Linked DNA regions of Stegostoma tigrinum. The protein of the gene in region 2 purifies or fractionates together with the protein of the main gene of each other region. This does not show direct contact. Links are inferred from orthologs where the notes say so. Each region holds a gene or a part of one and is shown on either strand. Other genes may lie near its edges. The genes, in order: long-chain fatty acid transport protein 2-like and saal1.

Region 1 (16,109 bases), on a different chromosome or scaffold from region 2:
GATTTACCTTTGGAACATTACAGAGGTAGCGTAACACCTCCCCAATGTACTGGATAACAGTGACATCATACTGCCTGCAGTCATCCCAGAACTGGCTTACAGAAAACTTACGACGTAAGACAACAGTTGCCCCTGTCAAAGAAAAGGAAGAAAATAGAAACATGATTATTCTCCACTTTTCTGCATTCCCAGATTATCTCACAATGAAATGGGAGCAATTAATTTAAGTAATAGTTATTGCCCACTACTGAAAGCAGCTGTTTATTAAATATTATGACTCCTATATGTGCTGATGTGCCAACCACTACCACCTTATGGTTGGGGCAATTCGCTGCTATCACCCCCATTCCTTTACTGGTTCCAAGGGCCTAGGTGCAGATGGTAATGAAGATACTTCCCCTGGGATGCTGGCCATTCCTATGGAGTGGGAGGACAGAGCAGAGAGTTAGGGCTCAGCAGGGATCCAAGCCACATCAAACAGAGGCTGGTCATCAATGAGTTAAACGATGGGGACGTGAACAAAGATTGAAGATACTGACCTCATCAGTGGGTAAACCCCTGGCCACCTCCGTAACAGAATCTTATCGAAGCAGTGGAGAGATCCACTTTCCCTCATCCCAATCAGGGACAAGGCCGCTGAAATGATAACGGAGGTGCCGGTGTTGGGCTGGGGTAGTCAAGGTCAAAAATTGCATGACACCAGGTTATAGTCCAACAGGTTAATTTGAAGACCCAAGCTTTTGAAGTCTCGCTTCTTTTTCAGGTGTCAGGATTGAGACTCCAAAAGCTTGTATATTCAAATTAACCTACTGGACAATGCTTTGGCACATTGTGTTCGAAAGGTTTATTCAAAATTTCTAGGCAAACATCCATAGCTTGGGGAGAGTGGGGGAGAGGGCAGAGTCGGGGAGAGGGCAGAGTGGGGCAAAAAAGTGGGAGAAGAAAGGGCGGAGAGCTTTTTTTTTAGTTTTACTTTGTTTTGGGGTAGTTCTGTAAAGTCTTTGAATGAAGATGGTTGTATATAGCAGTGCTCTTGAAAGTGGGAGAATATAGCAAAACTAGATTCCTTAGAGTAAGGAGTTAGTGATAGTAACAAATCAGAGTGTTGAGAAAAAGCCTTAACGAGGTTATTTAAAGTTAGGTATGTTTAAGTTTACATGTATGATGGCTCAAGGAAGAAGCTATCAACATTTCCCTTTCAGGAGTTAAGGTAATACTTACCTTAAGCCTCTGAAGGTGTTTAGGATTTTTTCTCTGGCATGAATACTGTAAAAAGGGTACTTTTCTGTATTGTACAAGGATTGTTTTGGAACTTGTAACAGTGTGTTTTGGGATTAATGGAATTATACTTTTACTGTGTGTTTAGACATCTTTGAATTTGTGTGACATTATCATTGGGTTTATTCTATTTCATCTTAATTTGTTTTGGTGAACAAACTTCTGCTTAATTGTTAAAACAAAATCTGCAAATTGCATGTTTATTTTTCATTAAGAGTTGACTTCATAAAACCAAAGCAAAACAAAAAAAATGATTGTGATCAAATGCGTCTCAGTCTGGGATTAAACATGTCGGTAACAAAATCAGCTGGAGCCAAGACCCCAAGGGGGCAGAGATCCTGCCCAGTGAGAGCTGCCAAATCAGTTAGAGGGTGGCACATGATGACCGCTACGGAGGCAGCTGTGGCTACTGCTGGCAGAGTGCTCCCAGAGTTCCAGCGTCACACACAGTGGGGAGTGATGACGGTGGGTTTGTACGAGGAGGGGTGGTGGGCAGGGGAGCTGGAAACAGGGGAAGAAGTTTGGCTCCCAGTGGGCACCCACTGCCCAATGTCCAGTTGCTCAATCACTGACTGCCTTAGGTCACCCCACCTCGAGGTGACAAGTTACCCCAAGGGTAGCAACTGTTGGGGAAACTGCAGAGTCACAGACCCTCCTGCAGATGGGTTAACCCCATCCATGCAGGCTCAGGCCTATAAGAGAAGAGATTCTTAATCAACCACTTAAGGGTCTCAAGAAGTGGCAGGGAACAGGCCTACTGTCCCGTCTGGATCGTCCTGCTGGAGGTTTGTAAGGCAGCAGGGAATGGGTGTACCACCACTGCGTTGAAGTATGTGCCTTCCCACCTCCAGAAACAGCAGGTCTCGACTCAATGTGCTGTGAACCACAGGAGTGTAACTCATTTGTTCAAACCTGTTTGGTACGGGAAAAAACTTTCAAGCAAACGTAAAAGGAAAGGACAGTATGATTTTTCAAAAAAGGTCAAGACCCACCAAAAAATTATTTTAAACAGTATTCATGCTCAACATTAACAGGTAGGTTTCAAAATGTAATGCTTTGGGAATTCTGCCACCTCCCCTATTCCAGCAGATGGGAAACTGGGAGAGCTGCCAGGGACGAATCCTTGAAGCCTTTCATATCCAGGATTGCCCCACTCTAATGCTGACATCACCCAGCAAATCTCATGGCCATTTCACACAATGTTCCAAATTCAGACAAGAAAATCTTTTCACATTCTCTCTCCAGTCCTGAACTGTCTGTCACTCTGTGGCTCGAGTTCTCTGGTTCCTCCCTTTTTTAGAAAGGTCTCTTGCAGTCTCTCTCAGGGTCTCTCTCTCTCTCCCTCCCTCTCTTGATGTGACACAGGCAGTTTGCTCTTTATTGTCTCTTTGTACTGAATTTCTTACAGTCTCTAGAACAGCTTTAATGAGATTATTCAAAAGGATTGAGTTTTTTCTGCATTCCAAAGGCCCACTGGCTAGTAAACAAACAAACAGAAGGAGAAATCTTCAACCCTGACCTCTGGATTTATTATTAACAAAATGCTGTACTTTAGACCAAAGGGCTTCACTTTTTTTCTCTGTGGTATCAAGAAGCTCATTTTAAACAGCTGAGGTGAAAAAGGAGGGAAGCAAAGAACAGAAAAGGAGTTGAGACCATCTCAAGGAAATGGAACAGGGTTAAAACCATAAAAGGAGCAAATTTAGATTCGGCAACCTACCTGCATAAATGCAGCCACAGATTCCAACCATGGAACCAGCACTGTGATAAAGAGGTAGAGTGGTATAAATCACATCATTACTGTAGATACCACAAGTTGCAATGAACGAAGCAAAAAGATGTGCTCGAGAGTGAGTGATGATGGCAGCTTTGGGCAAACCTTTAAACCCCAAAAATAAAAGAATCAAATCATAATACAGCCACCAATTGAATCCTCTGGTTCAGTGAAGAAACCATCACTACACAAACAGCTGGAACATGAAGCAATCCTAAAGATCCATCACACTGTGACATTAAAAATGATTTAATTATTTATCCTTTTGTTTAATCACTTCAAACACAGTCAATTTTTCACTGCTGTAGCAAAACTGTCCAAGTTTCAATGACACAAAATACCTAATAAGCATGTATTATTTACAAGATATAAGACAGAGAAACACTGGGCAGGTTCTAGAATAAGTAGAGATACCTGTTGTTCCGGAGGTATAGATATAAATAAAGGGGCTTTTGAAGGTAACGTGTGATCGGAGGGACAAAGGCAGTGGCTGGTCAGATGCAGCTTGAATTTCATCATTCCCAATGCTTTCTATGGTACATTCGTCATCCAAAATTAAAACAGTGACATTGTTCTCTCTTAAACTGGGCAGTACATCCTCCACTGAACACCTCAGGTCTGCAAAATACACAATAATCAATATTCACTGTGTACAGATCAGTATGTTTATAATGAGCCTATCCCAAACATGACAGGAAATATGATGCTCACAGAGTATACATCACAAACATATTCCAGCTATAATGCCTGCATACACCAAAAGTTTACTAAAATGTTTGAGTTTCTAATGATTGATTGAAAGGTTCACAACAAGATTTCTAAACAAATTCAGAGTAATGTTGACAAGGCACTTATAAAGGTCAGAAATGAGGATGTTCACTGATGATTGCACAATGTTCAGCAACATTCGCAACTCCACAGATATTGAAACAATCAAGACCTATACAATATCCAGGCTTGGGCTGACAAATGGTAAGTAACATTCATGCCACACACATGTCAAGCAATGACTATTACTAATAACAGTCTCCCCACCATCCCTTGACAGTCAATGGTGTTACCATCACTCAATCACTCTTTATAGGAAAGATGTGGATGCTTTGGAGAGGGTTCAGAGGAGGTTTACCAGGATGCTGCCTGGACTGGAGGGCTTATCTTATGAAGAGAGGTTGACTGAGCTCGGTCTCTTTTCATTGGAGAAAAGGAGGAGGAGAGGGGACCTAATTGAGGTATACAAGATAATGAGAGGCATAGATAGAGTCGATAGCCAGAGACTATTTCCCAGGGCAGAAATGGCTAGCACGAGGGGTCATAGTTTTAAGCTGGTTGGTGGAAAGTATAGAGGGGATGTCAGAGGCAGGTTCTTTACGCAGAGAGTTGTGAGAGCATGGAATGCGTTGCCAGCAGCAGTTGTGGAAGCAAGGTCATTGGGGTCATTTAAGAGACTGCTGGACATGCATATGGTCACAGAAATTTGAGGGTGCATCCATGAGGATCAATGGTCGGCACAACATTGTGGGCTGAAGGGCCTGTTCTGTGCTGTACTGTTCTATGTTCTATGTTCTAATCCCTCACTACAACATCCTTGGGGTTACGATCAACCAGAAGTCAATTCAGTTTGCCATATAAACAGAGTGACTGCAAGAACTGGTCAGCAACTAGGAATACTGTGATGAATAACTTCCCAAATCCGGTCCATACCTATAAAGGCACAAGTCAGGAGTGTGATGGAATACTCCCCACTTGCCTGGATGGATGCTGCTCCAATAACTCTCCAGAAGCTTGACACCATCTGGGACAAAGCTACCCACATGATTGGCATCACATCCATAAGTATCCACTCCCTCCACCACTGAAGCTCATTAACAGCAGTGCATGGTATCTGCAAGATGCACTGCAGAAGTTCACCAGGGATCCTTAGACAGCACCTTCCAAACACATGACCACTTCCAGCTAGAAGGACAAGGGCAGCAGGTACATGGGAACACTGCCTCCAAGCTACTCACCATCCTGACTTGGAAACATATCGCTGTTCCTTTAAGGGCATTATGGATCAACACACAGCAGGAGGACTGCAGCGGTTCAAGAAGGCAGCTCCCCTCCACCTTCTCAAGGGCAACTAGGGATGGGCAATATATGTTGCGCAGCGCGCAATGCCGACATCCCATAACCAAATTTTAACAATTAGAAGATAAAGTAGAGAAAAGTTTGCCCGTTGTGTTTTAGGGTCAGCAATGTGTGCGTCAGGGAGAGGTAGAGTGAGCCAGAATGTAGCCTCGCTTGGGTCTGACAGGGCCATGTTTCCCTTGTGATGATGTGGTCATCAGTTCATTCTGTAAGGAGTGGTGAGGAAAATGGAGACTGTGCTGATGGGAACAGGCAGGAACTGACTGTCCTGCTGTTACTGGACAGCTTTCATTCCTGGCAATATCCCAACACAGAAACACGCAAAGTAGGTGTGGGATGAGGCCTTTCGGCCCTTCGAGCCTGCTGCACCATTCAATATGGTCATGGCTGATCATGCAATCTATCCCACCATTCCCACTTTGTCTCCATACCCGTTGATCCCTTTAGCTGCAAGGCCCAATTCCCGCTCCCTCTTGAATATATCTGATGAATTGGCCCCAACAGCTTTGTGGGGTGAAGAATGCTGCAGGTTCGCAACTCTTCCTCTAAAACGCCTTCCACTGCCTTGTCTCCTCTCGGTCCACTGGTTCCCCTCCACTGACACTCTCATTTTCTTGGCTGAACTGGTCCTCACTCTCAACAATTTCTCCTTCGATTCCTCTCACTTCCAAACAACCCAGAGGGATGGCCATGGGCACCCACACGGGCCCCAGCTGTGCTGCCTCACTGTAGGATTTGTGGAACAGTCTCTCTTCGGCAACTACACCAGTAGCATCCCTCACCTCTTCCTCCACTACATTGGTGACTGCGTTGGTGCAGCCTCATCCTCCCACGAGGAGCTCAAGCAGTTTATCAACACACTCCACCCCACCCTCAAATTCACCTGGACCATTTCTGACACCTCCCCCCTCTTCCTGGACCCCTCCGCCACCATCTCTGGAAACTGACTCACCACCGACATCCATTTTAAACCTACTAACTCCTACAACTATCTCAACTATGCCTTCTCTCACACAACCTCCAGGAAAAATGCTATCCCAAACACCTAACTTCTCTGCCTCCACTCCCAGGATGAAGCATTCCACTCCAGGGCATCCCAGATATCCTCCTACCTTTGACACTGGAATTTCCCCTCCTCTGTAATTAAGGACACCCTCAACTGTATGTCTTCCATTTCCCACATGTCTGCCCTCAAACACCCTCACCCCAACTAGGGCAGAGTACCTTTAGTCCTCTCGTACCATCCTACCAACCTCTGAATCCAATGTATCATCCTCCAACACTACTGCCACTTATAATCAGACCCCACCACAAAAAAGATATTTCCTTCCCCACTCCTGTCCGCTTTCCACAAAGACAATTCAGTCTGTGACTGCCTTGTCAGCTCCACACTCTCCACCAACCCCTCAGCACACCCAGTACCTTTCCCTGCAACTGCAGGAGGTGCTACACCTGCCGCGACACCCCTCTTCTACCTGCAAGGGCCCAAACAATCCTTCTAAATCTGGCAAAGATTCACCTGCACTTCACCTAGCCCATCTACTGCACGCGTTGCTCCCGATGTGGTCTACTCTACGCCAGGGAGACCAAATGCAGACTTGGGGACCAGTTTGTCGAGCATCTGTGCTCTGCATGCACCAACCAACCTGACTTTCCAGTTACCAACCACTTTAACAGCCCCTTCCACTCCCCTGGTGACATGACCATCCTTGGCCTCCTCCACTGTCAGAGTGAGGCCAAACGTAATCTGGAGGAACAACACCTCATATTCCGCCTTTGGAGGTGATGCCCCAAAGGCCTGAATATTGACTTCACCAGCTTCAAAATCTCTCCTCCCCCAACCTTATCCCATATGCAGCCCTCCCGCTCCTGACCTAATCTGTCCGTCTTCCTACTCAGGTATTTACTCCACCCTTCCCACAGACCAATCACAATAACCCCTATCTGAATGCACCTATCACCATCTCGCCTACCCTTAGCACACACCACACCACCTCCCCTTCAATGCATTCCTGGGCTGCCTGCCCTGGTCCTGACCAAGGGCTTCAACTAGAAAAATGGTGATTTTTCTGTTTCTGGAATGCTGCCTGGCCTGCTGTGCTTTTCCAGCCTCACACCTATAGACTCTCACTTCCAGCATCTGCAGTTGTTATCATCTCTGAGTGAAGGAATTCATCTTCATCTCGGTCCTGAATGGCTTATTCTTTGACTGTGGCCCCCTAGTTGTGGGCTTCCCCAACATTGGGAACATTCTCCACATGTGTAGCCTGTTCAGTTCCATCAGGAGATTAGAAAACTCTATGAGATTCCCCCTCATTGTTCTAAATTCCAGGAAGTACAAGCCCAGTTGATCCAGTCCTGCCATCCCAGGAATCAGTCTGGTGAACCTTCGCTGGATTCCCTCAATAGCAAGAACGTCCTTCCTCAGACTAGGAGACTAGAACCACACACAACACTCAAGGAGCGACCTCACCAAGGCCCTGCATAACTGCAGCAAGAGCGAACCCACAGAGAAATGACTGCATTCTCTGTTTCACACCTAGAGACCCAGAGTTGCCAGCGGTTTGCTCGGACCTGGGAGCTGCTTTTACAATTTGAAAGTTCCTCACCTCCACCGACGATGAGCACTTGGGAGGCACAGCACTTGAAACAATGAAGCAGGGATTTGCCCTTGATGTTGAAGTTGAGGAAAGCCACAGGGCAGCCGAGTTTAGCGAGAGCCAACCAGACGGAGACAAACAGCGGAGTGTTGCTGAGGAGGATCGCTACACAGTGACCGCGCTGGAGCCCAGCCCGGCGCTGCACGATTCTCGCCACTTGGTTGCTCTGCCTGTCCAGCTCCGAGTAACTGAGAGTCCGGCCCTCAAACTGCACAAACGTTTTGTTTGGGGATTGTCTCACTCTCTGGAGGAACACATCCAGCAATGTGACCGGGGGCTGCTTCCTCTTGTAAATCATCACCCGTATGGCCAGTGTGACCGCTCGGTAGAAGTTTCTCAAATCGTGCCCCAGGTACGGGAACCAGGAGCGGAGCAGGAGGCCACTCAGCAGGAGGGCCAGAAGGAAGCCGAGGAGAACCTGCATTGTTGCCGGGTCGAGCGGGGCTCACAGCATCTGAAACTTCCCCAAACTGAGAACTAGCCGTCACCCTGGCGGCTCGCCTCCAGGAGGCGGGAGATTCCTGCTGGGGGCTGGGTGCAGGGAGGGAAACCGGGCACTCCCTCCCACAGCCTCACTGACCCTGCTCCCCAACACAATTCCTGCATTTGCACCGAATCAGCATTAACCTGGGAAATACAGACCCTCTACATTTACACAGCATGGCCACTCGGCCCGTCTGTGCACTGCTGCTCCAGGTTCCACACAAGACCCTCCCGTTCCCCTTCATCTCAGCCAATCAATATCTGTGCGAGATAAAGTGTGGAGCTGGATGAACACAGCAGGCCAAGCAGCATCAGAGGATGAGGAAGGCTGACGGTTCGGGCCTAGACCCTTCTTCAGAAAAGGGAGATGGGGGAGAGGATTCTGAAATAAATAGGGAGAGAGGGGGAGGCGGACTGAAGATGGATAGAGGAGAAGATGGGTGAGGAGGTAGGGAGGGGACAGGTCAGTCCGGGAGGAGGGACAGGTCAAGGAGGCGGGATGAGGTGGTAGGTTAGAAATGGAGGTGCAGCTTGAGGTGGGAGGAAGGGATGGTTGAGAGGAAGAACAGGATAGGGAAGCAGAGACAGGCTGGGCCGGTTTTGGGCTGCAGTGGGGGGACGGGACGAGCTGGGCTGATTTTGGGATGCGGTGGGGGAAGGGGAGATTTTGAAGCTGGTGAAGTCCACATTGATACCATTGGGTTGCAGGGTTCCCAAGCGGAATATGAGTTGCTGTTCCTGCAACCTTCGGGTGGCATCATTGTGGCACTGCAGGAGGCCCATGATGGACATGTCATTTAAAGAATGGGAGGGGGAGTGGAAATGGTTTGCGACTGGGAGGTGCAGTTGTTTATTGCGAACCGAGTGGAGGTGTTCTGCAAAGCGGTCCCCAAGCCTCGGCTTGGTTTCCCATGTGTAGAGGAAGCCACACCGGGGTACAGTGGATACAGTATACCACATTGGCAGATGTGCAGGTGAACCTCTGCTTAATATGGAATGTCATCTTGGGGCCTGGGATAGGGGTGAGGGAGGAGGTGTGGGGGCAAGTGTAGCACTTCCTGCAGTTGCAGGGGAAGGTGCCGGGTGTGGTGGGGTTGGAGGGCAGTGTGGACCAGACAAGGGAGTCACGGAGAGAGTGGTCTCTCTGGAAGGCAGACAAGGGTGGGGATGGAAAAATGTCTTTGGTGGTGGGGTCGGATTGTAGATGGCGGAAGTGTCAGACGATGATGCGTTGTATCCGGAGGTTGGTAGGGTGGTGTGTGAGAACGAGGGGGATCCTCTTTTGGTTGTTATTGTGGGGACGGGGTGTGAGGGATGTGTTGCAGGAAACGTGGGAGACACAGTCGAGCACGTTCTCGACCACTGTGGAGGGGGCAGGGAGTTGCGGTCCTTGAAAAACGAGGACATCTGGGATGTACAGGAGTGGAATGCCTCATCCTGGGAGCAGATGCAGCGGAGGTGAAGGAATTGGGAATAGGGGATGGCATTTTTGCAGGAAGGTGGGTGGGAGGAGGTGTATTCTAGGTAGCTGTCGGTGGGCTTGAAATGGACATCAGTTTCCAGGTGGATGCCTGAGAATCCCCTATTCCCAATTCCTTCGCCTCCGCTGCATCTGCTCCCAGGATGAGGCATTCCACTCCCGCACATCCCAGATGTCCAAGTTCTTCAAGGACCGCAACTTTTCCCCCCACAGTGTTCGAGAACGCCTTTGACCGCGTCTCCCGCATTTCCCGCAACACATCCCTCACACCCCGCCCACGCCACAACCGCCCAAAGAGGATCCCCCTCGTTCTCACGTACCACCCCACCAACCTCTGGATACAATGCATCATCCTCCGACACTTCCGCCATCTACAATTCGACCCCACCACCCAAGACATTTTTCCATCCCCACCCTTGTCTGCTTTCCGGAGAGACCACTCTCTCCGTGACTCCCTTGTCCGCTCCACACTCCCCTCCAACCCCACCACACCCGGCACCTTCCCCCGCAACCGCAGGAAGTGTTACACTTGCCCCCACACCTCCTCCCTCAACCCCATCCCAGGCACCCAAGATGACTTTCCACATCAAGCAGATGCTCACCTGCACATCTGCCAATGTGGTATACTGCATCCGCTGAACCAGGTGTGGCTTCCTCTACATTGGGGAAACCAAGCAGAGGCTTGGGGACTGCTTTGCAGAACACCTCCGCTCAGTTCGCAACAAACAACTGCACCTCCCATTCGCAAACCATTTTAACTCCCCCTCCCATTCCTTAGACGACATGTCCATCCTGGGCCTCTTGCAGTGCCACAATGATGCCACCCGAAGGTTGCAGGAACAGCAACTCATATTCCGCTTGGGAACCCTGCAGCCCAATGGTATCAATGTGGATTTCACAAGCTTCAAAATTTCCCCTCCCCCTACCGCATCCCAAAACGAGCTCAGATCGTCCCCGCCTCTCCAACGTGTCCTTCCTCTCACCTATTCCCTCCTCCCACCTCAAGCCGCACCCCCATTTCCTACCTACTAACCTCATCCCACCCCCTTGACCTGTCTGTCCTCCCTAGACTGACCTATCCCCTCCCCTCCCCACCTAAACTCACCTTTACTGGCTCCATCCCCACCTCTTTGACCTGTCTGTCTCCTCTCCACCTATCTTTTCCTTTATCCATCTTTGATCCGCCTCCCCATCTCTCCCTATTTATTTCAGCACCCCCTTCCCTTCCCCCATTTCTGATGAAGGGTCTAGGCCTGAAACGTCAGCTTTCCTGCTCCTCTGATGCTGCCTGGCCTGCTGTGTTCATCCAGTTCTACACCTTGTTATCTCAGATTCTCCAGCATCGCCAGTTCTTATTATCTCTGATACAATAACTTCGTGATTTGGAAGTCACTGATGTGGTACGGTTAGCTCAGGATCACAGTATCACACAGTCTCTGACTGGCAATGAACCCAGCCAGGCCCAGAACAAACACATTACAACCAAATCCAGACAATATTCCATTCTGAAAATATCAACCCAAAACATTAACTCTGCTCCTCTCTCCACAGGTGCTCCCAGACCTGCTGAGTCTCTCCGGTACTGGGTTTTTACTTCCGATTTCTACTGTTATATCTTTAGGGGGATATCTTGCCCACCTAATAAATTTGGGATCAATCTCCGAGTCCAGCAAGTTTCGCAAACCAACACAAATGAAGCAGAATCAGAACCACATCCGGCCTCTTTGTTTGTGTCCGCTTTTTCACAGAGTGATCTAACTTATCCCACCGCCTTGTTTCTGTTAATTATTTCTCCTTTAACTAAGTCAAAAGTCACACAACATCACGTTATAATCCTGAAGAAGGGTCCTGACCTGAAACGTCAGCTTTCCTGCTCCCCTGATGCTGCTTGGCCTGCTGTGTTCATCCAGCTCTACACCTTGTTATCTCATTGTAGTCCAATAGGTTCATATAAAATCAGAAGCTCTTGAGCACTGCTCCTTGGTGAGGTGAAGTGGGTACAGGCTCACAGGCACAACATAACAGAAGAGAGAGAATGGCAAGATAATACATTTCATTCATCCTTTCAGTTGTTATATAGCCCCATCAACTCTATTCACACTATTTGTACCCTCCTAACTGTCCGGAATTACACACACACACACACACACACACACACACACACACACACACACACAAATAAATCTATAGGGTGAATTTGCATTGGCAGATTTGTAATTACAGGTACATTCTATTTTGTTCAAAATCACACAATTTGTAGACAGTCAATGCTGTATTTTATAAATTGCTACTTTGCAAATAAAACTAACCTGATTCCAAGTTGATACACAGCCAGATTCTACACAGGCCTCACACCTAAAATGCATTGTCTGACCTGGGATGTCATCTCTGGTATACACTGATCAAACCTTTAGATATCTCAGGGCAATGACTTGAAAGAAATTCTGGGATTTGCATATTAATCCTTGCTAACTGATTGAAGATTTAACAACCATTTTAGGTTTGTTCAATACATTTGCATCGGTTCTATGACCCTTTAATCTTTCGCTTATAAATTCTGCATCTGATGCCACCTGTCCCACTGACACCTGGAGAAGGAGTGAGACTCCAAAAGCTTATGTTTTCAAATAAATCTCTTGGACTATAACCTGGCACCACAGGATTTTGACCTCGTCCACCCCAGTCCAACACCGGCTCCTTCGCATCATGGCTTCCCTTTAACCAGTGACCCAATTCCACATGAATCTGTAGCAAACACAGAAATTTCTGGAAAAACTCAACAGGTCAGTGGAGAGAAAGAAAAGTTAAGGTTTTGGGTCCAGTGACCCTTGTTCAGAAGTGATGGAAAAGAATGGTAATTATGCTGAAGTTGGGGTGGGGTATGGGGAGAGAAGTAAACAGTACAGGGAGATGGACCCCAGAGAGAGAGAGAGAGAGACAGCGAAACAGTTGGGCACACAAAGGATCAGATAAAGGTCAGCCTGAGAGAATGAACAGATGCAAATGGGGAGCATTAGTGACTGACAATAGGTTGTGAGAGATTAGATTTAGATTTAGATTTTATTGTCACATGTACTCAAGTACAGCAGTACAGGAATACAATGAAAAGTGTATAACATCACCACAAACAGCACCAATACAAACATAACTAAGTACCAAAAACTGAGGTACAAGAAACAAAGTTAAAAAGTTAAGAGATAATGGGAACTGCAGATGCTCGAGAATCCGAGATAATAAAATGTGAGGCTGGATGAACACAGCAGGCCAAGCAGCATCTCAGGAGCACAAAAGCTGACGTTTCGGGCCTAGACCCTAACCCTTTTTTCTGATGAAGGGTCTAGGCCCGAAACGTCAGCTTTTGTGCTCCTGAGATGCTGCTTGGCCTGCTGTGTTCATCCAGCCTCACATTTTGTTATCTTAAAAAGTTAAGCATTATTTGTCAACTTATTCTTTGAAAGTAAAGAAATAAGGCTACAGTAAATATTAAAGCCCTTCTTAATAGAAACTAGAAAAACAAAGGAATAAAGTTAAAGGTTCTGCAGTCTTGATTGAGTCCTCTGATTTTCTCACTATCTGGGAGACCTCAGCTGTTTGTTCTCAATGCCACTGCTGCTGATACCAGAGGAGCTTCGTTACACTCAATCATCCTCCGTTGGGCCACGATGCTATCACTGCTGCTGACGCTGCCAACTCTCCAAACTCTCCCGGGTGCCTTCCGAACACCCCTGGGCAGGACCCACTTGCACACTGAGTCACTGGCACACAGGCCGGGAGGACATCGTGGGACAGGCCAAGAGACCACCATGGGGACAGGCCGGGAGGGCACCACGGGGACAGGCCGGGAGGACATCATGCGACAGGCCAAGAGACCACCACGGAACAGGCCAGGAGGGCACTACGGGGACAGGCCGGGAGGGCACCTCACTGGGTCTCCACTGAGGTCAGGACAGAAGAAAAGAAGAAAGGAGAAAGAAGAAAGAAAAAAAAGAGAAAGAAATGGGCAGAGCAGACAGGCTCTGCTGAAGCATCCTTCACCACCATCTTGGAAACGGTAGCAGCCCGTGTCATGACAAGGCCTGGTTTGTGGGGCTTGGGGTCAGGACATGGGAGAAGATGCTCAGACCCTGAAGTTATTGAACTCAATATGAAGTCCGGAGAGCTGCAGGGTCCCCAAGTGAAAAATGAGGTACTGTTCTTCCAGCTTGGCACTGAGCTAAAAAAAAACCCAAAAACCGAAAGAATTGCGGATGCTGTAAATCAGGAACAAAAAACTGCTCAGCAGGTTTGGCAGCATCTGTGAGGGAAAACCAGAGTCAATGTTTCGGGTCTGGTGACCCTTCCTCAGGTTGTGTTGTTGTTGTCATTGGCGCTGAGCTTCGCTGGAACACTGCAGCAAGCCCAAGACAGAGATGCCAGCCAGGGAATTGGTGCTGTGTTAAAGGACAGCGAACTGGATGCTCATGGTCTGTTTTGTGGACAGAACGTAGATGTTCTGCTACGTGGTCACCCAGTCTGTGCTTCATTTCCCCAACGTACAGGAGACCACAGCGAATACAGTATACTAGAGTGAGTGAAGTGCTTCACCTGGAAGGTGTGTTTGGGATGTTGGATAGTGAAAGGGGAGGAAGTACATGGGAAGGCACTACACATTCTGCAGTTGCAGGGAAAGGTGCCATGCAGCTGTGGGAGGTGGGTGTTGGCAGCGGAGGAGGTGTGGACCAGGGTGTCTTTGAGGGAATGGTCCCTGCAGAAGGTGGACAAGGGACGAGAGGGGAATATGTGTCTGGTAGTGGCATCCTACTGAAGGTGGCAGGAATGGCGGCTAATGATCCTCTGGATGGTAGGTAAGGACAAGGGGTTCCCTATCACAGTTGCAGCAAGCAAGAGAGGGGGGTGAAGGCCAAGCTGCAGGAGATAGTCTGAACTTGGCTCAGGTTCTGTCAACCATGGAGCTGGGGAATCCTCAGCTGAGGAAGAAGATGGACGTTTCAAAGGCTCCCTTGTCAAAGTTGGCATGATCAGAACAGATGCAACAGAGATGGAGGAACTGGGAGAATGGAATAGAGGAAGTGGGGCATGAGGATGTATCATTAAAGGTAACTGTGGGAGTCGGTAGGTTTATACTGGTTAGTAATGAACATTCTATCCCCAGAAATGGAAACAGATGTCAAGGAAGGGAAGGGGTGAGTCAGGTAAAGGTGAGAGTTAGGTGGAAATTGGAAGTGAAATTGATAAACTTTTCCAATTCCAGATGAGAGGCGGAAGCAGCACCGATGATGTCATTGATGTTTTGGAGAAAGAGTTGAGGGTGGGATCCCAAGTAGGATTGCAACAAGCAACGTTCCACATACCCCACAAAGAGACAGGCATAACTGGGCTCATCCCATGCCTACCCCTCTGACCCAAAGAAAACAAGAGGAGTTAAAAGAGAAGTTGTTCAGAGAGAGGATGAGCTCAGCCAAGTGGAAGAGGATGGTGGGGGGTAGGGATGGTGCAAGTCCTTTTTCCCCAGGAAATGGAGAGCCCCGAGACCAACCTTTCAAAAATCTTGGCAATTTTAGTTAATTTTCAAGTCTCCCTTTACATTTCTCAGCTCTAAGGAGAACAATCCCAGCTTCTCCACAGAACTGAAGTCTCTCATCTCAGGACCATTCTATTAAAACTCCATAGCACTCTCTCCAAGGCCTCAGCCTCCTTTCTAAAGAATGATGCCTGCAATCAAACACAATAACCATCTGCAAAGCCCTGACAGTCTTTTATATAAGTTTAGCCAAATGCACTTACTCAGTACCTTCTGCGTCAGTTAATACAGCCATCATCTTCTGAACTTACTTTGTCACTTTCAAAGATCTTATTTATCTGTAGCAGGAACTTGTATTGTCTCAGTTTATTTTCCTTCTCTGCATTAACATTTCATCTGCTGTGTGTCTGTGCATTTCACTAGTATCTGTCCTCCTGAAGTCTGTTACTGTTCTCCTCACTGTGTACAAAATTTCCAAATGCTGATGTGAACAAACTGATGAAATAGAGCAGACTTAGACCATCCAGCAACCCAGGCTTGCTCCTTTCAGTAAGACTATAGTTGAATTGTTTGTGTTGAGTTCCACGTTCCCAACTGTACCCGAATACCTTTGATTTCCCTGCCTAAAAGACATTCAGTGACCCAGTTGGATACAAAATTTGCTTGAAGGTAGGAGACAGAGGATGTTGGAGGAGTGTTACATGGAACATAGGACATTACAGCGCAGTACAAGACCTTCGGCCCTCGATGTTGCACTGACCTGTGAAACCAACCTGAAGCCCATCT
Region 2 (16,328 bases):
AAGGCATTTGGCACATTTGTCTTCATTGCTCAGTCCTTTGAGTATAGAAGTTGGAAAGTCATGTTGAGGTTGTGCAGGACATTGGTGAGGCCTCTTCTGGAATACTGTGTCTAGTTCTGGTCACCTAGTTATAGGCGGGATATTACTAAACTGGAGAGGGTTTAGAAGAGAATTTACCAGGATGTTGCTGGGTGCAGAAGATTTGAGTTACAGATATAGACTGGAACTTTTTTCATGGGAGGTTGAGAGGCCACCTTTTAGAAATTTACAAAATAATAAGGGGTATAGATAGAGTTAGTGGTGTCTTTTCCATGGGATGGGAGATTTCAAGACCACATTTTTTAAGGTGAGAGGAGAAAGATTTAAAAAAGACATGGGGGTAAATATTTTGCACAGAAGGTGGTTTGCATGGAAATTAACTTCCTGAGGAAGGGTTGGATGTGGGTACAGCTACAACATTTGAAAGACATTTGGAAAAGTACATGAATAGAAAAGGCTTGGAGGGATATGGGTCAAGAGCAGTAAGATGTGACTAGTTTAGTTTAGGATTATGTTGGGCACAGATAAAGGATCTGTTTCCATGCTATATGATTCTTATATATAATTCCTGAAATTGTCCGAGTTCCCCTGCTATCTTCCTCAGGTATGCACAGGCATTTTTTGGTAAAACCATTTTTCTTTGCCATTTTCTTCAAGTGTAGGAAGTGTTGCACCATTTTGTTCTTTATTTTGAAGGATCATAGACCTAGTTGAATCTATTCATAACATTGATCTGTCCTTTCCCTGCAGATCACAATTCAGTGTGCTCAGTTGTTTCATTATGTCTGGAAGGAACCCTAGGTTGGGCCACCACACATTGTCTGCCACTTTCATTCCCAGATTTAAGCAAAAATCATGGTTTCCATTGTCAGATCAAAAAATCTTTGCAGGACCTTCTGTCAACTTAACTACCTCACAACAACTTAGAGGATTGGTTCACTGTAGGCAGTACTGAGTTTCAAAAGTAGCAATTTAAATAACCAGTGCTAAAGGTCTTTTGCTCGAAACAAACTGAGTCTTAACATCAACTTTCATTACACAAGAAGTCTGTGACTTTACTGGCTAATATGGTGAAAGTAGGAAGGCAGATAGTTGTTGGGCTGTAAATTGAGAGACCTGGCTGTCCTCATGAACTAGTTGCTGAAAGTAAGTGTGCATGTGCGAAGTACTGGGCTAATGGTAAGATTCTTGGTAGTGTGGACGAGCAGAGGGATCTTGGTGTCCACATGCATAGATTACTGAAAGTTGCAACCCAGGTTGATAGGGTTGTTAAGAAGGCACACGGTGTGTTAGGTTTTATTGGTAGAGGGATTGAGTTTCGGAGCCGTTAGGTCATGTTGCATCTGTACAAAACTCTGGTGCAGCCGCACTTGGAGTATTGTGTACAGTTCTGGTCGCCGCATTATAGGAAGGATGTGGAAGCATTGGAAAGGTTGCAGAGGAGATTTACCAGGATGTTGCCTGGTATGGAGGGAAGGTCTTATGAGGAAAGGCTGAGGGACTTGAGGCTGTTTTTGTTAGAAGAAGGTTAAGAGGTGACTTAAGAGAGACATACAAGATGATCAGAGGATTAGATAGGGTGGACAGTGAGAGCCTTTTTCCTTGAATGGAGATAGCTAGCACGAAGGGACATATGTTTAAAAAGAGGGGTGATAGATATAGGACAGATGACAGAGATTCTTTACTCAGAGTAGAAAGAGTGTGGAATGCCCTGCCTGCAACAGTACTAGACTCGACAACTTCAAGGGCATTTAAATGGTAATTGGATAAACATATGGATGATAACGGAATAGTGTAGGTTAGGTTGGCTTCAGATTGGTTTCACAGGTTGGCACAACATCGAGGGCCGAAGGGCCTGTACTGCGCTTTATGTTCTATGTGCAGCAGTCAGTAAAACTAGCAAACTGTATGTTGGCCTTCATAGCCAGAGGGTTTGAGTACAGGAACAAAGATGTCTTGCTGGAATGATACAGTGCATTGGTGAAGCCATACTGGAATATTGTGTACAGTTTTGATGTCCTTTCCTGAGGAAGAATGTTCTTGCTATAGAGTGCAGTGAAGGTTTACCAGATTGACTCCTGGGATGGTGCAACTGACGTATGAGGAGAGATTGAATTGGTTAGAATTGTATTCATTGGAGCCTAAATCCACATCACTGACATCAAATTGATGAACAGGTAAAGAGCAGGTGATTATTCAAGTCTTCCCCATGTACATGATGCTTGACTCATTCTAGATACTTCAAAGCCCACCCTCTGTACCACTGTACAAACCATAACTGTTTTCTCACAGTTTCATTTCTTTTTCCAGTTCAGTTGCTTCTTACTGATGACCTTACCCTTATACTAACTGATGTTGTAGGTGAAAGTTTTTGTGAAGATTTGTAGCTGGGGTTGTGGATGAGGTTGTAGACTTGCTCACTGAGCTAGTGTGTTTGATTACAGACATTTCATCACCATAGCATTGTCAGTGTGCCTCCAGAGATGAACGTTAAGGATCCTGTACCCACAACCAATAAAACTAACGTAATATACAAAATACCATGCAAAGACTGTGAAAAACATTACATCGGCCAAACTGGAAGAAAACTGACAATATGGATACACATGGACAAGAAAGGATATGAATTTGACTGCGACAACACATCCATAATAGCATGAGCCAAACAGAGTCATGGCAGGGAATTCTTGGATACCTGGCATTCCAACTGGAATTCCGTCAACAAACACATTGATCTGTACCCGATTATACGAACCACTGAAAAACAGAGCCGGAAGTGATACTAACCACTCCAGCAAACCAAGGCGAATAAATAACATGGGACAGAACACCAATGCTTCACCTGAGACACACTGACAATGTTACCCAGCAGGGTGACAAAATGTCTGCAACAAAATACACCAACTGGGTGATAAAATGTGAGGCTGGATGAACACAGCAGGCCAAGCAGCATCTCAGGAGCACAAAAGCTGAAGTTTCGGGCCTAGACCCTTCATCTGATGAAGGGTCTAGGCCCGAAACGTCAGCTTTTGTGCTTCTGAGATGCTGCTTGGCCTACTGTGTTCATCCAGCCTCACATTTTATTATCTTGGAATTCTCCAGCATCTGCAGTTCCCATTATCTCTGACACCAGCTGGGTGAACAAGTCTACAACCTGATGTAGTTGGTTGCTTCTCCATCTCCATCTTGCCTTTATAATTTTCAGTTCAAAAGAACAATTGTTCTATTTATACCTTAATCCTCATCACCTCCCTCCCTCCACCGAATCCAATGCTGTCATAACTGTTTGATTTCATTCCTTCCTTCATCCCCTTAATCCTTTCTATCTCATTTATGCCACATTTTGTGTTCAAAGCACAAGTTGTTTCAATGAGATTGGTTTGGCCAGAGTAGGGCTGGAGGTTTTATTTCCATTTACACCAACAACCAACTAAACCATGTGATATTGTATGTGACATCTAGAAGTGGAGGAGTAGGGAAATTGAAAATGATAATGAGACGATAATAAAACACATGTCGGTCAGGGAAATAATTAATGGGACTCTGGAAAATAAATAGACCTGAAATTCTCTGCCAAAAACTTATTATTGAATTACACAAATTATTTTCAAAGTAATCAGATGTGTAAAAACAAACAGCGACAATTCAAATGAAATGAGGAACTGAATCTAAGAAGTTGAGAGCATAAAATCCTACGCATTTGTGCAGATTTTGAACTTGGCCTCAATTTAAAACGGATGTGGAATTCAGCACATGCTGGATATATTATGCATAGCCAAGAGAGGGTTCCAACTGCTTAGAACTGAGAGAGCTAGTTTGCGCCAAATAAGCATGTTTTCAACAATCTGGGTCAAAATTTCTTCTACACTGTACAAACTGCTGCCATTGCTACAGGATACGGAACTGTGGAGCTTGTAATTGATAATAAAATGTGAGGCTGGATGAACACAGCAGGCCAAGCAGCATCTCAGGAGCACAAAAGCTGACGTTTCGGGCCTGGACCCTTCATCAGAGAGGGGGATGGGGAGAGGGAACTGGAATAAATAGGGAGAGAGGGGGAGGCGGACCGAAGATGGAGAGTAAAGAAGATAGGTGGAGAGAGTATAGGTGGGGAGGTAGGGAGGGGATAGGTCAGTCCAGGGAAGACGGACAGGTCAAGGAGGTGGGATGAGGTTAGTAGGTAGCTGGGGGTGCGGCTTGGGGTGGGAGGAAGGGATGGGTGAGAGGAAGAACCGGTTAGGGAGGCAGAGACAGGTTGGACTGGTTTTGGGATGCAGTGGGTGGGGGGGAAGAGCTGGGCTGGTTGTGTGGTGCAGTGGGGGGAGGGGACGAACTGGGCTGGTTTAGGGATGCAGTAGGGGAAGGGGAGATTTTGAAACTGGTGAAGTCCACGTTGATACCATTAGGCTGCAGGGTTCCCAGGCGGAATATGAGTTGCTGTTCCTGCAACCTTCAGGTGGCATCATTGTGGCAGTGCAGGAGGCCCATGATGGACATGTCATCTAGAGAATGGGAGGGTGAGTGGAAATGGTTTGCGACTGGGAGTTGCAGTTGTTTGTTGCGAACTGAGCGGAGGTGTTCTGCAAAGCGGTCTCCAAGCCTCCGCTTGGTTTCCCCAATGTAGAGGAAGCCGCACCGGGTACAATGGATGCAGTATACCACATTAAGCAGAGGTTCACCTGCACATCTGCCAATGTGGAATGTCATCTTGGGGCCTGGGATAGGGGTGAGGGAGGAGGTGTGGGGGCAAGTGTAGCATTTCCTGCGGTTGCAGGGGAAGGTGCCGGGTGTGGTGGGGTTGGAGGGCAGTGTGGAGCGAACAAGGGAGTCACGGAGAGAGTGGTCTCTCCGGAAAGCAGACAGGGGTGGGGATGGAAAAATGTCTTGGGTGGTGGGGTCGAATTGTAAATGGCGAAAGTGTCGGAGGATGATGCGTTGTATCCGGAGGTTGGTAGGGTGGTGTGTGAGAACGAGGGGGATCCTCTTAGGGCGGTTGTGGCGCGGGCGGGGTGTGAGGGATGTGTTGCGGGAAATGCGGGAGACGCGGTCAAGGGTGTTCTCAATCACTGTGGGGGGAAAGTTGCGGCCCTTAAAGAACTTGGACATCTGGGATGTACGGGAGTGGAATGTCTTATCGTGGGAGCAGATGCGGCGGAGGCGGAGGAATTGGGAATAGGGGATGGAATTTTTGCAGGAGGGTGGGTGGGAGGAGGTGTATTCTAGGTAGCTGTGGGAGTCGGTGGGCTTGAAATGGACATCAGTTACAAGCTGGTTGCCTGAGATGGAGACCGAGAGGTCCAGGAAGGTGAGGGATGTGCTGGAGATGGCCCAGGTGAACTGAAGGTTGGGGTGGAAGGTGTTGGTGAAGTGGATGAACTGTTCGAGCTCCTCTGGGGAGCAAGAGGCGGCGCCGATACAGTCATCAATGTACCGGAGGAAGAGGTGGGGTTTGGGGCCTGTGTAGGTGCGGAAGAGGGACTGTTCCACGTAATCTACAGAGGCAAGCATAGCTGGGGCCCATGCGGGTGCCCATGGCCACCCCCTTAGTCTGTAGGAAGTGGGAGGAGTCAAAAGAGAAGTTGTTGAGTGTGAGGACGAGTTCAGCTAGGCGGATGAGAGTGTCGGTGGAGGGGGACTGGTCGGGTCTGCGGGACAGGAAGAAGCGGAGGGCCTTGAGGCCATCTGCATGCGGAATGCGGGTGTACAGGAACTGGACGTCCATGGTGAATATGAGGTGTTGGGGGCCAGGGAATTGGAAGTCCTGGAGGAGGTGGAGGGCGTGGGTGGTGTCACGGACGTAGGTGCGGAGTTCCTGGACCAAAGGGGAGAAAATGGAGTCCAGATAGGTGGAGATGAGTTTGGTGATGAGCTTGTAATTGATCTGCCTTATGGAAATGCATGCTGCTTGGCTTGCTGTGTTCATCCAGCTCCACACTTTGTTATCTAAAATTACAATAAGAACCTGCTGTGTTTTGAACAGAATTATGCATAACAGAGTCAGCAAGAGGCAGCACGCCAGTCTGCTTTTAAGAAATAGTTGGACATAATTGTGAGATTTCTGGAACCAGCAAATGGTTACTGAAGAAGAAACCAAATGAAAAGCTCAAAGTAAAGAATTGCAAGGTTGCATCTGTATATACCACTGCAAATGAAAGTGTGCCAGGTCAGAAGTCACACAAGACCAGGTTTTCTCGCCCAACAGATTCACTTGAAAAGACAAGCTTTCGGAGCCTCAGTCTTTCTTCTGATGTTAGTGAGAGGTAGTATCATATACAGAATTTAAAAGTAAAAGATCAAATAATCACACCATTTATGAGGATGTACTAAACAAACCTAAGGGTTAAATCTTTAGTTAGTTAAAGGTTTTAATTGATTAATATGTATGTGTAAATTCCCGAAATCCTTCCAAGTCCCGATCCTGAAAACTAAAGGTTTCATCATTGCAGAGGCACAATGTGTAACAAAATTGTGAACAGACTCCCAGCCGGAGGGTGGCGCTGTGAGAGGGCGAGTGTGAACAGACTCCCAGTCGGAGATAATAGGAACTGCAGATGCTGGAGATTCCAAGATAATAAAATGTGAGGCTGGATGAACACAGCAGGCCAAGCAGCATCTCAGGAGCACAAAAGCTGACGTTTCGGGCCTAGACCCTTCATCAGAGAGGGGGATGGGGGGAGGGAACTGGAATAAATAGGGAGAGAGGGGGAGGCGGACCGAAGATGGAGAGTAAAGAAGATAGGTGGAGAGGGTGTAGGTGGGGAGGTAGGGAGGGGATAGGTCAGTCCAGGGAAGACGGACAGGTCAAGGAGGTGGGATGAGGTTAGTAGGTAGCTGGGGGTGCGGCTTGGGGTGGGAGGAAGGGATGGGTGAGAGGAAGAACCGGTTAGGGAGGCAGAGACAGGTTGGACTGGTTTTGGGATGCAGTGGGTAGAGGGGAAGAGCTGGGCTGGTTGTGTGGTGCAGTGGGGGGAGGGGATGAACTGGGCTGGTTGAGGGATGCAGTGGGGGAAGGGGAGATTTTGAAACTGGTGAAGTCCACATTGATACCATATGGCTGCAGGGTTCCCAGGCGGAATATGAGTTGCTGTTCCTGCAACCTTCGGGTGGCATCATTGTGGCAGTGCAGGAGGCCCATGATGGACATGTCATCAAGAGAATGGGAGGGGGAGTGGAAATGGTTTGCGACTGGGAGGTGCAGTTGTTTGTTGCGAACTGAGCGGAGGTGTTCTGCAAAGCGGTCCCCAAGCCTCCCAGTCGGAGGGTGGAACTGCGAAATGGGCGGGTGAGGTGTGTGTGAACAGACTGCCAGCGGAGGGTGGCGCTGTGATGGGCGAGTGTGAACAGACTCCCAGCCGGAGGGAGGCGCTGTGAGCGGGCGGGTTGTGAACAGACTCCCAGTCGGAAGGAGGCGGTGTGTAGGATGGGATCGAGCGATTTGTAAGGCCTGTGCTGTTTCGGTTGTGCTGAGAATAGACGCGTGGGTTTAGGCACGGGTTGTTGGAGTAATGATGAATTAAAATTTCACTTTGCTTTGTGAATAAGAGAACCTGAACCTGGGAGAGAAAAGCAGTTGCTGCAAAGAGTGAGTCTGTCGGTATTCACTCATGTACTTGTCTGGTTGAGATAGTTATGAGTGTCCCCTGTGTACTTTAGTGTGATTAGCACAGCTCTCCCTTTACTCAGAACCTGTTTATCACAATCACTTAGATCTGTACCCGCCTTCTCGTAAGGAGCGCACAAAATAAACTGGATGTTGGAACTCGAAAGAAAAAAGTCTGGACATGTTCTGCAACTCCGGCAGCATCAAGAAGAGAGGAACAGACTTAACGTTTCAGGTTTTGTAGTATGATAAATAGCCACAGACCTGAAATGTTAACTCTTCTTTACAGGTGGGAGCTTAGTATTTGGCACACATTTTGTTGCTCTCCCAAAGCTTTGACGCTCTGGTTGTACACCTAAGATCCCTAGGATCTCTGACTTCTGCCTGTCAATTCTTTTAATGCAACTATACCAGTAATTCAGGAGCAAATTACTGCAGATGCTGGAATCTGTCCTGAAAACAAAAAAAGCTGGAAATCATAGCAGGTCAGGCAGCATCCATGCAAGAAAAGCAAGGTAACGTTTTGAGACTAGATGACTCCTGTTTAGAGCTCATCTAGACTCGAAACTTAGCGAAACCAATAATTCAACTAATCACGTTCCCATCCTGAAGTGGGGATAGAAATAAGTGAGATCTCTGTCGATATTTGAGCTGAGTACAAGGTGACATGGCTGTCATTGAAAGTTTGGGACTATATTAATCTGTTTTGGAAAATATGGTGAGTTCAGAAGCCAAGCAGATCTAAATTATTAAGTTAATGATTTAGCAATCACTCCGGTTTACTTCTGGAACCTGAAGGGGTTGATGTTTCACTAAGGACTGGGATTCTTCCCACATTTTATAAAAAATCATTCATAGAATGCAGCCTTTGCTCCCTCGACCACCATTTATTGTCCATCCCTAGTTGTCTTTGAGATGTGGTGAGCTGCCTTCTTAATGCACTGCAGATCATTTGGTTCAAGAAGCCCCTCAATGCTGTTAACGAGGGATTTCTGTGGTTTTGACAACACTGAAGGTTTGGCGATATATGTCTGAGTTAGGATGGTGAGTGGCTTGGAGGTAACTGCAGGTGATGGTATTCCTGTGTTTCTGCTGCCTTTGTCCTTCTAGTTGGTAGTGGTGGACAGTTTGGAAGGTGCCTAAGGAGCCTTGATGATTTTCTGCAGTGCACTTTGTAAAAGTATGCACTACTGTTACTGTGAGGCAGTGGATGTTTGTGGATGGGCTGTCAATTAAACAAGCTGCTTTGTCCTGGATGGTGTCAAGCTCTTATTTACCCTGGAAAGTAGTTTATTAAACTGTGTAGTTTTAATTGGTTAAATTGCAGCAGTGTGTAATTACATTTCCTGTATGACCTGTGTGCATACAGTGTCTGTTCTTCTCCATGGACCTCTCCTGTTGCATTAATGCAGTGTTCCTGTGCTTCCCAAAGTAGCGTTGTTCAAGCATTCTGAATGGCTGGGATGGATCGCAACCCATCCCCACCACCAAGTGATGAAAGCAGTGATGAGACAACCAGAGTTGATGCAATTGGGAACACAGTGTACAGTAAGCACTGGTTGTTCACCACGCTCATGAGGCTGATTGAGGTAACGTTTACATTCTGTATGTATACAAAAACGTAGGTCCTATTTTGAAATAAGAATGCAGATTTGATCAGTTTCATTAGGGCTTGTTGATTCCTCAGAAGGCAATAATTAATCAAACCTGACTCAACCTATAAATTATGAGTTAGCTATAATTGGTCTGCGCTGCACCACCTAATTTCACTTAAAATGATGCGGGGGTAGGGTAGATGGAGAATGTCAGCAGTGTCAAGTAGCCCTTAAGTAAAAGGGCTGTCTGACTGAATTGGCTTCATGCTGAACACCCATATTATTTGATCAACCTGTTAATCGGAAGCATGACAAGGCCATTGAGGGCATACACTGTCAATCATATCCATATCAAAAAACATCATGATTTTTGTAACTCCAAGCACAGAACTTGTATTATAACTACGGATTTTACTGGGGTATGTAGCAAGAAAAAGTATGCACAACAACAGTTTACAAAGGCCAGAAAACAAAAAAATATATTAACCACTTCACTTTCTCAGCTTGTCTCTCCAGAAGGTGAAGAGGTGGAAGAGTTAGATTCCAGAAAAGAAACAGAGCTGGATGAGGATCTGGAGAATGAGATCTGTAAAATGTGGGACATGTCAATGGATGAGGTAATCATGGAGTTCTATGGAGACCCTTGAATGTGATGGTGATTGCTGTCTGATTGAATGTAAGTGACTGATGTGTCTAGAAGGAATATCATACCTATATTCCAAGTCTCCAAATCTCTTTGCTCTTCACTGTTCTGTCTTTAAATTCCCTTCCCTGACTCAAAAATCAATCTCTGCAGTGAGAGAGGAAGATGAACTAATGTCTAGCTTTGGAGATAAATATGATCATCTCTTAATTTGATATTCTGACTTATTTTACTGTTGCTTCATTTCACTGAGAGAGGTTTAAGTAAAATGAGTGACTTCTGTGGTGAATTCACGAATCAATTAATTTTTCTCTTTTACTATAGCACAGTACATTGAACTGTCAGAGCAGCTCTACACTGAAAAGACACTGTGAGATTAAGTGATAGTGTGAACATTTTGTTTTCCAATCATAGCTTTGCGGACTGTACTGTGGAAGGGATTGATGTATATGCTGAGTTGTAAGTGGTCTATGCCTGTTTGAAATGCAGCAATTTTGGTATCATTAACCATGCAGCTTAAAGGGCTAGGTTCTTAACCTTAAGAGATAAATGATGGCTGTTCCTGTCAATGTAAGATGTTTGGGTAATGTACCCTGACTCAGATGCATGTCACTGTTACTTAATGACTAAGCTTTGTGTTTTGTACTGTAGGACGTTGCTGTGTTTCTTCAGGAATTCAATGCTACAGACATCTTGTTGGGGATCATTGGTAAATCCAAGTGTCCCCGACTAACGGTGGGTGAAACTTGTAGTAAGTGAGGGTTATTTGCAATGTAATATGTTCCTGTCCAGACTGTTGTATGGTGCCCTCAATCCTTATTGTTGTTGGAGCGTGAGAGACCTGGTAATCAGACTTCTCCGGCATAGTGTCTAATCTTAGAATATCACCCATGACAATTATACTCAGTTTGTAGTAATTTCCCAGTATCCATTTTGCAATGCCTTTTTGCCATTGGGCATGGTATGCACCTGGTTGTTAATGAGATATGGTTTCCCTCTTACTGGCCTATGTCTGGATAAATGGCTGTTGGACAAACAGCAATTTCTTACTGAAAAGGATCAGAAGGAAACCAAGTTGTACTGTTGTAATGAAATCAGCTGTCTGGATGATTTCTGCAGAAGTAAGCTGAATATCTTTCCCAGTTACTTAGCCTTCATTTCTTTGGGAAATCGTTATACAGGACAGCAACTTTAGAATATTGGTTATAAGGAAGTGCATTACACTCTGAAAAAGGTTTTTCTCACCACATTTCTGCAAGTACTGATCTGCTCACCTGCACGCTCCCCTCTAGCTGCGATACTCTCATCCCCAATAAACCAATTACTGTCTCTTATGCTGGTTCTCCTGGTAGATACCCTATCTCTCCTAAGTCCAAAGGATGTAGACTTGAAAGGATAAAATGCACAACTGATTTAGCTAGTTAGTGTGAGTATGGCTGGATGTTAGGTTAATCACTATTCTAGGATGTTCGTGAAATGAAAGCTTTTACCTCTTGAGTTCTTTTTAAACCCGTCACCCCATTTCCTTGACTGCAACAATAAATGCATGGAGTTCATGGGCATCTTTTGTCACTGATTTTAAAACCGTCTGAACAGTTGCTGCTGCCCCCTTCCATTTCACCAGGCCAAACTTCCTCAAAATTCCCTTTTGTCCCCACCTTGAACTTGCATATACCTCCTTTTTCTCTCCTATCTCTTCAGGTCCTTTTCAACTTCAACCCAACCTACAGTCCACTTCTTACTCCCTTATTCCTTCTAAGCTGCTAACTGCCCAATTTCTCCTCCCGATCGCCGTAATGATCAATATTGAAAATTGTTCAGTCTCTGTTCTCTAGATCTGTCATCATCATCCTTAAAAACAAAATTCTTGACCCCACTGCCGTTGCAAAGTATGGTCCCATCTCCAGCCTACCATTACTCTCCAAAATCTTTCAGTGTTTTGTTGCTTCCTAAATTGGTGCTCACGTTTCCTAAAACTGTGTTAAAATGTACGATTAACTCAATAAATGAGCTGAATAGTTATGCTTACATTCTGTAGAGAATACTGTTCTCTATGCTGCTGGAGATGGGACGTGGGGAGTATGGTTTAAGATGGTACTTTTCTGTAGGAAATTAAATGATGCAGAATTATTACTGGGATAGTGTGTAAATGGTGTGAGGAAGGAGTGATCTTCAGATAATTGCTCATTCCTCATTCCATTTTCTTTCTGTGGCAGTGGTCTGTAATTGCTGAATAAAGTCTCTTCTTTATCGAGGTTAGGAAATTTGTGTTGGTATCCTGGGAAATATGGCTTGTTACAGTGAGACCTGTCGGGCAATCAGTAACAACAATAATCTCGTGTGAGTATTCGTATACAACCCATGCTGCACATTCTTCAATAGATAACCAGTAAAAACATTAAGTCCTGTCCTTATTGAATATTGTTGGTGCAATAGGTTTTTACAAAAACTGGCATTAAAAATGAATTAAAGATAAGCTCACAGCTTAGAATTTTTCTCTTTTGTTGTTGTCCTCAGCTCTCCAGTATATGGAGCATGAGCTGGGCAAACCATAATTGATATTTTAAGTTACCAGGGGCTTTATCTTACATCAAAGAAACAATCCCCTCTGTAACCTCTAATAATGGCGCCAGAGTTAATGAAATTTTGCAAGTGGCATATAGAACTCTGTAAACCTACTTGCTGTATTCAGTTTATCACCAAAAAGGCCCCTTGATCTCTGGATAGAATCATTTTACCAGTAAACTCAGCCAGTTTTTTATTTGAAATACCAAACAGAAGGTACTCTGGCATGTCAGACCCAAGAAGTAAATCCAGTGTAACCTTGGTACTGTGATTCAATAGCACCAGCGTAGTATGAAACACCCAAAGTGTTCAGGTGTATGAAGATTCCCAGTACTAAAAATTAGCAGTGTTTCAGTGCATGATGTTTGTGCTACATGTGTGGAAACTTTTGAGGTATCTCTGTAGGTGGAGACAACATTTGCCTCTGAGACTGTGTGCAGTTTTACTCCAGCTGTAGATCCATGAGTTTATTGTGGCATCAATTTTGCCTTTCAACACCTAGCAATATTTAAGTAAGTATTTATGAAGCAGCTAGATGGGGATATGTGATGGAGTGAATTAGCTCTAAGATGAGGAATGTGCGTTTTTTTGAAGCTGTAGTTCTAGAATTTGCATCTTTTAGGATATATTTTGTATTTTCATCATATATATCAAAGCAAATGTTCCATACAATCAGTGATTGATATTTAAGAATCAAGCTGTTTTCCAACTTTCACTAGAAATCCTCATTTTATTTGAAGATGTATTTCAGCAAACAGCTAGTCTTTTTAGCTGCAGACTATAAGATATTGAATAAGGAGGGAAGCAGTATAATTTATTGAATCTAAAAGATGTGAAAGAAGAATTTTGGGATTTTATTCTTTTTTATAGTTTCCGTGTGGTAGTTCTTTTAAAAAGGCTGTGATTATTATAATTGTCTTAAGAAAATTATGTTGGGTGGAATAGTGGCTCTGTGGTTAGCACTGCAGCCTCACAGTGCCAGGGACCCAGGTTTGATTTGACCCTTGGGCAACTATCTGTGTGGAGTTTGCACATTCTCCCCCCTGTTTGCATGTGTTTCCCTCAAGTGCTCCAGTTTTCCCCCTCTGTCCAAAGATGTGTATGTTGGGTGGATTAGCCTGGGGAAATGCAGGGCTATAGGGTGGTGCAGGGGAGGGTGGATCTGCATTGGATGCTCTTTGGACAGTCGGTATGGACTTGATGGGCTGACTAGCTGCTTCCTGTAGGGTTTCTATGTCGGCAAGAGATGACGAGGAAGAGAATAGGGAAGAATTTAGGGAGTAAATGTTATAAGGTTTGTTGGGTTTTGAGGTGTTTCTTGGAATAATTGGCTGTTTTGCTGATCATCTTGTTTTCTTCCCTATTCCATAGTGACGTTTTGCTATTGCTGCTAGGAGATTCTGACCCACCTACTCTTTTGGAAACGAGCAGGTAGCATTTTGAATACCATGTGTACTAGATTTATGAAGGTCACATAATACTTGATTACTTTTTAGCTAAATGACTTCATGAATTAACGACAATATAAGGAAAATCTAATATGATGAAATTTTATTATGTTGGTAATGGATCTTCTTTGGAAACTGCCATAGTCCTTTTATGAAAGTACTACTGTGATTCTGTTAGGGAAGCAATGCTAAGCTTTGGCCTCAGCAATGATGAAGGAACAGCAAGATAGATTCAAGTTAAAATAGTGAGTGACTTACTTGAAAGTTTGGAGCTAATGTGGCGACATTACATTGCTGCGTTTGCTTCTGATTTATGTTCCTGGATGCGATATGAAGTTTGACATCCGGAAATGTGCAGCCAATCAGTCGGTGTATCTGAGTGTGGTCAGTGTTTTGAATGGGACACGTCAACACCGTCCTAATACAAGTGTTAACCTGTCTTTCTTTTTCAGATGCTGACTGATTTTGTTCATTTAATGTTATTTTTATCTAACTTGTTTTGTGTTTATGCTATGCTGTCTGACTCTGAAATGAGCCATTTGTCAGTATGGATGAGATGCATCATCTGATTCTAGTTGGCAGTATATTTATTGGTCTGGAATTGGTTGTAAATTGTCACAGAACATCTGATCCTGATCATGGAAACGGGGATGATTCTTCAGTGCAAATAATTGATATGAACTAACATGGTTTCATTAAGATGTGAAAGTGTTTGCTGTCTGTTAATTTGAACTATGAGAAGTAACCAACAATAGAATTATCCATTCTATACTCAAACTAGGGTTGTGTATGGAGGGGTGTTGTGCACTGTAGATTAAGTGTGGTCTATCACTGATGGTGTTAATATTCTAAGAATGCTAGGCCACATTGATGCTACTTGTGGCTTCTTGATAATGATCCCTTTTCTGATTAATGATTCTGTTTTGTAGGTTAATACTGAGCTGTCTTTCTCACCCAGATGTGTCCAGCATCTGGGTTAACCAAATCCATAAGCAACGCTCTGTTCGGGAGAATGTATGCTTCATAATGCAGAGCTCCACAAATGGTAAGTGGTTTACTTTTTTGTGAAAACCATTTTGTCAAAATGTATGTGATTGGAGAAGTCTGCCTTTGTTTTCATTTTCTCAATTTTCATCTGAGCGATGTCTGCCTGGATGGAAAATTATGAGGTCAGAGAGGAGGCTGCACAAATGTGCATGCCTGTGAATTTGAAACAGTATGGAGTGTGGACTGTTGTATTCTTTGGATGACAAGCTTGCATTGATACTTTGACCTGTCATGAATTAGTGGGACTGCTGTCACTGTTAGATGTTTGAGAATTCAAGTGTACTGTAGGGGTTTCAGTGTAAAATGAACTTAGGGCATGGCTGGGAACAAGGGACTGAGATATCATAGCAATTATAGAAATGTGGCTCAGGGAAGGGCATGACTGGCAGCTTAATGTCACAGGGTATAGATGCTGTAGGAAAGGGAGGAAAGAGAGGAGGGTGAGTGGCATTTTTGGTTAAGGATAACATTACAATTGTACTTAGGGAGGATGTTCCTGGGAGAACGTCTAGTGAGGTTATATGGGTATAACTGAGAAATAAGAAAGGGATGATCACCTTATTGGGATTGTACTATAGGTTCCCCAATATTCAGTGGAAAATTGAGAAGCAAATATGTTAGGAGACCTCAGATATCTGTAAGACTGACAGCGTTGTAATGGTAAGAGACTGTTGTAGTGTTAAGGACTTGGATGGAGAGAGATTTATTAAGTGTGCACAAGAACATTTTCTTCAGTATGTAGATGTACCTTACTAGAGAAGCAGCAAAACTTGCCTTTCTGTTGGAAAATAAGGCAAGTGACTGAGGTGTCATGAAGGATCACTTTGGACCAAGTGACCACAATTCTATTAGTTTTAAAATAGTGATGGAAAAGGATAGACCGGATCTAAAATTTAAAGTTCTAAATTGGAGTAAGGCCATTTTTGATGGCATTAGGCAGGATATTTCAAAAGTTGATTGGGCAAAGCTGTTCATGGGTAAAGAGACAGTTGGAAAGTGGGACACCTTCAAATATGAGATTGAGTGTTCAGAGATAGTATGTTCCTGTAGTGTGAAGAGCAAGGCTGGTAGGGGGAGGGAATGCTGGATGACTAGACAAATTGAACCTCTTGTTATGAAAAAGAAGGAGGCATATGTCAAGTAAAGACAACTGGGATTGAGTGAATCCCTGGAGGAGTACAAGGGCAGTAAGAGTATACTTAGGAGGGAAATCAGGGCAAAAAGGGGACATGAGATAGTTTTGGTAAATAGGGCTGAGGAAAATCCAAAGAAATTCTACAAATAGGCTAAGGGCAAAAAAGTAACGAGGGAGAGAATAAGGCTTCTTAAAGATCAAAAAGGCTGTCTATATGTGGAACCATAGAAGATGGGTGAGGTGCTAAATGATTATT

The links.
Region 1: the proteins of saal1 (region 2) and long-chain fatty acid transport protein 2-like purify together in Homo sapiens (co-immunoprecipitation; 3 studies listed by BioGRID and IntAct, with this or other methods). This does not show direct contact. The link is inferred for Stegostoma tigrinum from reciprocal best matches to the Homo sapiens genes SAAL1 and SLC27A2.

Annotation. Positions count from the first base shown.
Region 1 is NC_081386.1:36,273,842-36,289,950, reverse strand, and holds the start of long-chain fatty acid transport protein 2-like, read right to left. Parts: upstream 8,343-16,109; 5' UTR 8,264-8,342; coding exon 7,789-8,263; intron 3,671-7,788; coding exon 3,467-3,670; intron 3,158-3,466; coding exon 2,999-3,157; intron 133-2,998; coding exon 8-132; intron 1-7. UniProt on the Homo sapiens protein: Mediates the import of long-chain fatty acids (LCFA) into the cell by facilitating their transport across cell membranes, playing an important role in hepatic fatty acid uptake.
Region 2 is NC_081370.1:16,714,682-16,731,009, reverse strand, and holds the start of saal1 (protein saal1), read left to right. Parts: upstream 1-7,278; 5' UTR 7,279-7,476; intron 7,477-7,486; exon of another isoform or gene 7,487-7,621; intron 7,622-7,633; exon of another isoform or gene 7,634-7,928; intron 7,929-9,071; exon of another isoform or gene 9,072-9,074; 5' UTR 9,075-9,093; coding exon 9,094-9,228; intron 9,229-9,737; coding exon 9,738-9,851; intron 9,852-10,528; coding exon 10,529-10,612; intron 10,613-12,137; coding exon 12,138-12,217; intron 12,218-13,813; coding exon 13,814-13,873; intron 13,874-14,819; coding exon 14,820-14,935; intron 14,936-16,328. UniProt on the Homo sapiens protein: Plays a role in promoting the proliferation of synovial fibroblasts in response to pro-inflammatory stimuli.